Linked DNA regions of Xenopus tropicalis. The protein of the gene in region 1 purifies or fractionates together with the protein of each later gene. This does not show direct contact. Links are inferred from orthologs where the notes say so. Each region holds a gene or a part of one and is shown on either strand. Other genes may lie near its edges.

Region 1 (4,332 bases):
TTCTGCATTTCCCAGGGTGCCACAGCCATGTGACCTGTGCTCTGATAAGCTTCAGTCACACTTTACTGCTGAGCTGCAAGTTGGAGTGATATCCCCCCTCCCAGCAGCCGATCAGCAGAACATTGGGAAGGGAGCAAGATAGCAGCTCCCAGTAGGTATCAGAATAGCACTCAATAGTAAGAAATCCAAGTCCGACTTGGGACTCCTCCAGTTGCATGGGAGTAGGAGAAACAATAGGTTAGCTGAAAGCAGTTCTAATGAGTAGCGCTGGCTCCTTCTGAAAGCTCAGACTCAGGCACAATGCACTGAGATGGAGCCTACACACCAATATTACAGCTAAATACATTTGTTGGTTCAAGAATAACATTTTAAATGGTAGCGTGAACTATTTGCTATGTAAACTGTGTAGTTTAGAAATAAAAAGTACAACATAAAAATCATGACAGATCCCCGGTGGCTTCATCAGAGGAGTTGACCTGTGTCGGCAATGCCCACTAGGTTCTCCAGGGGGCACATTTACAAAAGCACGAACGCTCGAGCGTTCATGCGAATGCTCCGAGTGTATTTTCGCCGATTTTTTCGGGCGTCCGCATGACTTTTTCGTACACCGCACAACTTTTTCGTACACCGCACAACTTTTTCGGACTTTTGCACGAAAAAATCGGAAAGGTTTTACCGCTGTTTACAATTGTTCGGTACGAAAATTTCATGACTTTCAGATCGCCAATACGATATTATCGTGACTAATGCGATTTTTTCATAAGCATTTTCGTGATATTTGCGATCTTTTGAAATTTTCGTTTCCAATACGATTTTTTCCCATTCGTGATTCGGATTCGTGGATTAGTAAATGTGCCCCCAGGTGTCCAACCAACCCAGACTGACCCTGTAGCCAACAAGTTTGATCTTTTGCTCTAGCAAATCCTAGCTACCTCTAGTTTATCAATACAGACAAGGGGCGTGGCCAAACCCAATTTGCCCCATGCATTCGTGTTCATTTTGGTCCCCATATATTAACCAAAGTCAGTATTATTTTCTCCACGCAAATTTCAACATTACCAGTAACTGAAATGACAAAATAAAGGAAAGACATCGGCAAGGTGAATAACTGAGTAGCTGTTGCAAAGGGTTTTGTGACAAGACTGTAACAAATTCCCTGATTAAATATGGCGGCATCTACTTGCCAGGCCTTTGCGTCATCAATCCGTGCTGACGTGTCATGCGGTACGTCCGGGCCTGCAGCGAAGCCTCAGCCTGCGGTCTCGATTACCTACCCAAGCTGCTGAGAGAAAGAGGCCGACATGAGCAAAAGGAAAGCCCCGCAAGAGAGCCTCAATGAAGGCATCACCGACTTCCTCGTAGGTAGGAGCGGGTTTGGAACTTTGGGCCCCAGAGAGAGAGAGAGGGCTAGACATATACAGTTACATACAAGCTGCCAATCAACGGGTCCTTTATTCACTGCCACTATGGGATCACTGTGGAGGGGGGGAGTATAGAGAGGAGACCAGCTGCAAAATGTGGGCTAGTTGTACTAAATGCAGCTGCAAAATGTGGGCTAGTTGTACTAAATGCAGCTGCAAGATGTGGGCTAGTTGTACTAAATGCAGCTGCAAAATGTGGGCTAGTTGTACTAAATGCAGCTGCAAAATGTGGGCTAGTTGTACTAAATGCAGCTGCAAAATGTGGGCTAGTTGTACTAAATGCAGCTGCAAGATGTGGGCTAGTTGTACTAAATGCAGCTGCAAAATGTGGGCTAGTTGTACTAAATGCAGCTGCAAGATGTGGGCTAGTTGTACTTAATGCAGCTGCAAGATGTGGGCTAGTTGTACTAAATGCAGCTGCAAGATGTGGGTTAGTTGTACTAAATACAGCTGCAAGATGTGGGCTAGTTGTACTAAATGCAGCTGCAAGATGTGGGCTAGTTGTACTTAATGCAGCTGCAAAGCTGAGGGGATTGCCTTTCATTTAACATGACACCTGAAGCTGGTACCATAAAGGAAAACTAAATACATTTTGACATAATAGAGACCCTGCTCCTCAACCACATCTCCCAGGGTTGGTGATTGCTTGGTTTTGTTGTGTCACATCCAGCCAGAGCTTTCATGGTGATTGCCAGGGCCAGGTTGCGCCCTCAGTGCCCTCGCTGCAGTTCAGCAATCACTACCCCAGAGCCTTTGGCAGAATGTGACATGGCGGCTGCTATCCCTGCTGTGGAAACCTGCATTTGGGCACAGGAATGCTGTTGTATAAAAATGGGTTTAGTTGCCCTTTAAGAAATACATGTTGCGATAACTGTACACCCCCTTAATTCAGTCATCTGTGGAGGCTTACTCCATAACTGGGATGCGTACGTTTGTAAAACTAATGTTGCCTTTAATTGGCGCGATTATAAAATGCGGCTTAATGGGCAAAATGTAATTCTATACATTCTAAATCAATGTATAAACTTGCTTGGAAATACATTTTCACAAGACAACACTTATTTATTTTTAAGTACTTTTTATGCCTCACTTACCATACCCAAAACGTATATACATATATATATTTTATATATTATTTTATATATAAACAAAGATATACATACACATATTTTGCGTCTCTCTAGCATGAAATGTAAAATTCAATCTTGCAGGCTTGTTTAACTTGGCGGTGCAATTGCTAGGGTATGGACACCCTAGAAACCAAACTGCAGTTTACTTAAAATTAATAAACTACAAAGGAAATAAAAAATACCAAGTGGATTGTGTCTCTGATTGTCTAGCTACAAATGGGACTCTAATGACCGTTAAAGGAGACACAGAGGATTACCGGAAAAAACCTCTAATCTTGTAGGCAATTATGAATAATATATGATGCTGGTTTCACGTTGTTCTTAAAATTAATATTATCTGTAAAAATGGCCCCTGTATTGGAGCTCCCTATAGATCCTCCCTGGTTCCGTGTCCATGTTTTAAATGTGGGTTAGCATCTCCTAATGGTCCCTGCCAGAAGCACAGTAGGAGGTGGATAGCCAATCACAGCCCTGCAGTCACACAAGCAAAGACAGGCTTCAGTTCCCTATCAGGTCAGCCTAGCTGCTGATGTATATGTATATATGTACATGAAGGTGTATATATACCTGTTTATCAAATGTCAACATGTCAAGAATGTTTTCTGACTTTTTGTTGCAGTTGTAAATTCCTCAACAATTTCCCTATTTACGAAAGCCCATTGGTTCGCCAGCCTTGAACTGACAATAGGCATTTTCCCTATGAGGCAAAAAGACACTTAAGGTGTTTCCCACACTCTGTGAATTATAATACGCCTTTAGGAAACTCGTCCTCAACAAGAAATATTTTCTTCATGAGAAAATAGTAGCCAGCAGTGGTTAAAAACTCCAAAAAGTATAAAATTGTCGCTGGGGAAAAAATCTGCAAAGGGCAATTGCAATGATTTGGTGACAAATTGTGAAAATGCTCAAAATGTTTTGTCATGTTTGTCATAATCTCTTTGTGCTTGTGATAAAAAGTATCACACAATAATGTCTTGTTTTGCAATTCCAGAGCTGGCTAATTATGAGAGGAATGTCAATAGAGCTATTCACAAATACAATGCTTACAGGTGAGGTGCCTGCTGCCCGCTTTGTGTCTGCTCTTTGCATGTGTATATATATATATATATAATATAATATATATTTGGATGTGTTTATAATTTGCTTTTTTATATTGGTTTAATGTGCAAACTTTAGCTGCAAGTCAAGATATAACCCATCCTCCTATCAGAATCAGTAAGAGCAATGGACTTTGGTGTCAGCATGCTGAATTATCTCCGGAATATGTGGCTCTCACTCTGCATTGTTGGATAATGTCTCATTTGGCCCTCCATACAAATTGGCACATAGTATTGATGAGTATATGTGATGGGCCAAGGCCACTGCAAGACAGCTACTGCCCCTCTTGCTTCCAGCTCTATGTGTATGACAGTGTTCTGCTCTATTCCGTCATTATTATGTTTGTATTATTTCTCAGTATAACAGAATAAGCAAAACACAGTGTTCCCTTTATACAAACATATCTTGATGAGATTCCATTCACTGTGCTGCCTTATTATTGAGCAGAGTTAAGGTGGCCATACACAGGCTGATTCTAGCTGCCAATATCAGTCCCTTAGACAGATTCAGCAGCTTATCGACCCGTGTATGGTCATTAACGACGGGCAGGTTTGATATTTAGTCGGATCGGGGACCGATGCAGTCCCCAAATCGACAAGCGCCTATACCCGTCATTTTAGTTCGATTGTTTGGCCCCAGGGCCAAACGACCGAATTAGCCCGATATTGCTAAGAAGATCCGCT
Region 2 (4,282 bases), on another chromosome or scaffold:
TTGTTTCTACCTCCTTACCTGCCAATTCAGCCCTGAATGGTGTGTGGCGGATCTGACGATGTTTCGTGCGACTGATGGTCACACGAAACATCGTCAGATCGCCACGTGTATGGCCAGCTTTAGGGCTGTGACGTGGCTATTTGGTGGCCCCATATTTTGAGTAAAACGGTCTCTCTGCGTCCAAACTCGCCTCCCAAGCCACTTGTTGGGGGTCACCGTTATAGGGGATCGCCATCTGAAAACTGTTTTTGCATAATGAGAGGCAATGTAATTCTAAGCCAGTTTCCTCTATACGTTTTCAGGGGATTTGCAGTTATTCGATAATTTATGGGAAAGTTGTTTACATTTTCTTTATTATCCTATATGGTTTTTTAGCAGGATCCTAAATGGGTTAGGGTTTACTTAAAGGAGAAGGAAAGGTAAAAACTAAGTAAGCCAACCATAAATACAGCCATAAGCACTCACAGTAATGCTGCACTGAGTCCTCTATCAAAAGAAACACAGGATTTTTTTGTCTCTTTTTTATTTTGTAAGCATGATGTTCCAGTGTCTGACTTTCTCTCTCAGAAACATCCTTAATTCCCCTGACCAGAGTCTGCGCAACTCTCTCCCCTCTCTTGCTCCTCCTCCCACCAGAATGCTAAGAACTCCCTCCCCCCCTCCCTTAGGAATGTGTGATCTGAGCTATAACTGCTAGAGACTGCAGGCAGGAAGCTACTTAAAATGGCAGCTGCTATCTTAAGCAAACAGAGAAAGCTTCTAAAGCTGTTTACTCAGGTATGGTAATGTTTTCTGCAGAATAAATATATTGTTATAGGTGGCACTAATGTGGCAAATCTATTGGCAGTAAAATGCCAAAATGACTTTCCTTCTCCTTTAAGGATCCAAGATATTTTGTGGAATTAAGGTACATTTTCTTACTATTATATATTGTCTGTTATCCAACTCCCAATCCATGTTTCTCTAATGGTCTAGTGAAAATAAAACCATTTTCAGATGTCAACGGGCTTTTTAATTTGTTTGTCTGTGTTATAGTAACAGGTTGATTTGCTGAATACATGTCAATGTTGCTGCTATTGGTTATATGTACTGTCTTATTCCTTCACGTGTAGTAATATGGACTGTCTATTTCCTTTACTTTCCTGTTTAGGTCAAGAAGCAACAAGAAAACAGATTTTTCATTATTAGAGCAATAGGCAAGTATATTCACCAGTCCTTGTAACTGAACTTATATTCCACAAGTGGGTATACAGGTATGGGACATGTTATCCAGAATGCTCGGGACCTGGGGTTTTCCGGATAAAGGGTCTTTCCTTAATTCGGATCTCCTACCTTAAGTAAAAATGTGAATTATTTGATTAAAATGGAGTCTATGGGAGATGACCTTTTCGTAATTCTGGATAATGGGTTTCCGGATAAGGGGTCCGATACCTGTACTGCCCCTTGCAATGATTTCACTTTCAAACTGCTGCCTAAAATCTGTCTCTAAAATATTTTATCTTTTAAACTAGGTGGTCTATGAGGGCATTTCTTAGACTTCTGGCATATCAGACCAAAAGGACACTTGGCCAGTCCTTAACAAAAGTTCCTTTACGAGTTATTTTTCATGCCTGTTGGAGCCAGTCGCCTCTCCACAGTGCTTTGCACTTCCAATTCTTTTTAAGAGTTACACATTTCTCCAACATGGCGGAACAGCGATACTGTGTGGAATATGCAAAACGTGGGACTGCTGGTTGCAAGAAATGCAAGGAGAAGATTGGAAAGGGTTTGGTACGCATAGGTAAAATAGTGCCAAACCCTTTTAGCGAGTCTGCTGGGGACATGAAGGAGTGGTACCACATCAAGTGCATGTTTGAGAAACTGGAGAGAGCGCGGGCAACTACAAAAAAAATTGATGATCTGACAGAACTGGAAGGTTGGCAGGAACTTCAAGACTGTGATAAAAACCTAATCAGCCAGCATGTCACTGGTAAACCTCTACTTGCATACTGTTTGTCTGGCTTACAATTGATTTTGTAACCATTTTATATTAAGTTCGCAATAAAAATCTAAAATGTCCAACAGTGCTCTACAGCAGATGTCCAGCCAAAAATAATTTGCTTTCCATAATAAAAGATGTAATTCTAAGCCACGTTCCGTTATATCTTAAAGGACATGTAAACCCCACACACACAATTTTAATCAGTGAACAGCCTCTTTCAATCTTTAAATACCTGCCACACTAGTTGTCCAGAGGTTAATAATAAGGCTGCAGCATCCCCTTAGATTTCCTTCTCCTCCTGTAACCCACTCGGCCCCCTCCCTCAGAAATTTGCTTTGACTTCTGGCTTGTGGGTATGCTCCGTTGTTAAAAGCTCAGATTACTAAACATGCCCTCCAGTCTAGCAGCCAGTGAAGAGATGGCATTGCTGGTTCCCATAGAAACTCCGCTCTAGCTGTCTGCTTCAATTTTGTTCTCCCAACCAACTCTCCTGAACTCAGCTCAAACAAAGCAGAACTTGTATCAGGCAGTTGTGCCTGTGTGAGCCCGTATTCTTGATGAAATGTGTTCTGAATAAGGGTCTGTGTGTGTGTATGTGTGTATGCTGTTTGCAGATTAAAATGTATCAGAGGAAAAAATTCCACCGGGTGAAAGTTGCTATTTGCTTTAGGAAAATGTGATGGTGCTAGCAAATGTAGGTGATATATGCAGTACAGATGATGCCATTTGAGTGGGGGAGACATGCCCAACTGATATACATTCTAGGCAAAAGTAGGCTTTACATGTACTTTAAAGGAATACTGTCATGGGGAAAACATGCTTTTTTTTCCAAAACACATCAGTTAATAGAGCTTCTCCGGTAGAATCCTGCATTGAAATCTGTTTTTCAAAACCGAAAACAGATTTTTTTTTTTTTTTTTTTTTATATTTAATTTTGAAATTTAGCATGGGGCTAGCCATATTCTTCATTTTCCAGGGTGCCACAGCCATTTGACCTGTGTTCTGATAAACTTCAGTCACCACTTTACTGCTGAGCTGCAAATTGAAGTGATATCACCCCCCTCCCAGCAGCCTATCAGCAGAACAGTGGGCAGGGAGCACAAAAGTTGGCAATAGTAGCTGAGTCTGAAGCATGTGTTCATGCTACAGCAACCCTGTGTTGATCAACCATAGGTAAAGCACTTAGTTGTAGGTGAGCTGAATGCATCTGTTGAAAACCTTATAGGTAATATCCTATGTTCAGATTGGTAGAAGGCTTGTACATCATGACCTAAGGCCTTGATGAAACTAGCTTTTGAGTTCCAAAAGTAACTGTTCCAAATAAGTTCTTATGTTATTGCACAGCTAGTACACACGCTACTAATATGACTTTCCTTTGTTTACAGAACTTGCTACAAAAACAGCAGCTACACCTCGAAAAAAGACTCCGTCCAAGGAAAAACAATCACCGGCAGTACAAGGAACAACTTCCACTACAGCACCAGCAGCTAGTCCCTCTCTAAAATTTTCAGGTTTCTCTGGTAATGCTTTATTTCTAGCACAGTAAAATTGTGATACTAATCGGAATCACACCATTATTAATCATAACTAACTCACCACTCCTCTCCCAGCCAATAGTTACTGACATTTCTGGTAGCACCAAATAGATATACATGTAAACATTATTTTCTTTGTTTTATATGCTTTGTATTCTTTTCTTTCTTTCTGCAATCATTATTTTATAACTTGTTTTTGCGGTTATAAAATGGGTTAAGTTGTGTGTGGTTTTTAAATCTGATATTCCCAGCAAACTAATATTAATGTAATATATTGTATTGTTTTTGTTCATCATTTGCCTTGGACATCTTGGAATTAATTGTAGTGCCTTTTTTTAACAGCAAAACCCAGTCAATCATCAAGCCCACCAAGCTCAAGCACTGGCTCCAGTCTTTCAACTGCAAAGTGTGACCCAAAACATAAGGACTGTCTTCTGCGTGAGTTCCGCAAGCTATGTGCAATGGTTGCGGAACAGCCAAGCTACAACAGCAAAACACAGATCATTCGTGATTTCCTAACCAAGGGAACAAGTGGCGGTATGCTCTCATTCATATGCAAATAAAGTGTTAAATACTGGTTTTGTTATAGATTTGATCTATTTTTTTTTTGCCTAATGCATCTATAATAATGATGTGGGGGCTGTCCTGTGGTTGGGTGGGTTCTTGCTGGAGTTTAGGTCAGGCACACATTAAATATTACCAGACATAGCAGCATCTTGCCAGTGTTCATTGGTGGGACATTTTGGTTACCGTACTTGCTTTTCTA

Evidence for each region.
Region 2: the proteins of polb (region 1) and lig3 purify together in Homo sapiens (affinity purification with mass spectrometry; 3 studies listed by BioGRID and IntAct, counting the BioPlex papers as one, with this or other methods). This does not show direct contact. The link is inferred for Xenopus tropicalis from reciprocal best matches to the Homo sapiens genes POLB and LIG3.

The regions. Positions count from the first base shown.
Region 1 is NC_030679.2:130,632,355-130,636,686, reverse strand, and holds the start of polb (DNA polymerase beta), read left to right. Parts: upstream 1-1,257; 5' UTR 1,258-1,301; coding exon 1,302-1,362; intron 1,363-3,542; coding exon 3,543-3,600; intron 3,601-4,332.
Region 2 is NC_030686.2:27,256,108-27,260,389, reverse strand, and holds the start of lig3 (DNA ligase 3), read left to right. Parts: upstream 1-1,163; 5' UTR 1,164-1,196; intron 1,197-1,511; 5' UTR 1,512-1,518; coding exon 1,519-1,969; intron 1,970-3,366; coding exon 3,367-3,501; intron 3,502-3,858; coding exon 3,859-4,053; intron 4,054-4,282. UniProt on the Homo sapiens protein: Isoform 3 functions as a heterodimer with DNA-repair protein XRCC1 in the nucleus and can correct defective DNA strand-break repair and sister chromatid exchange following treatment with ionizing radiation and alkylating agents.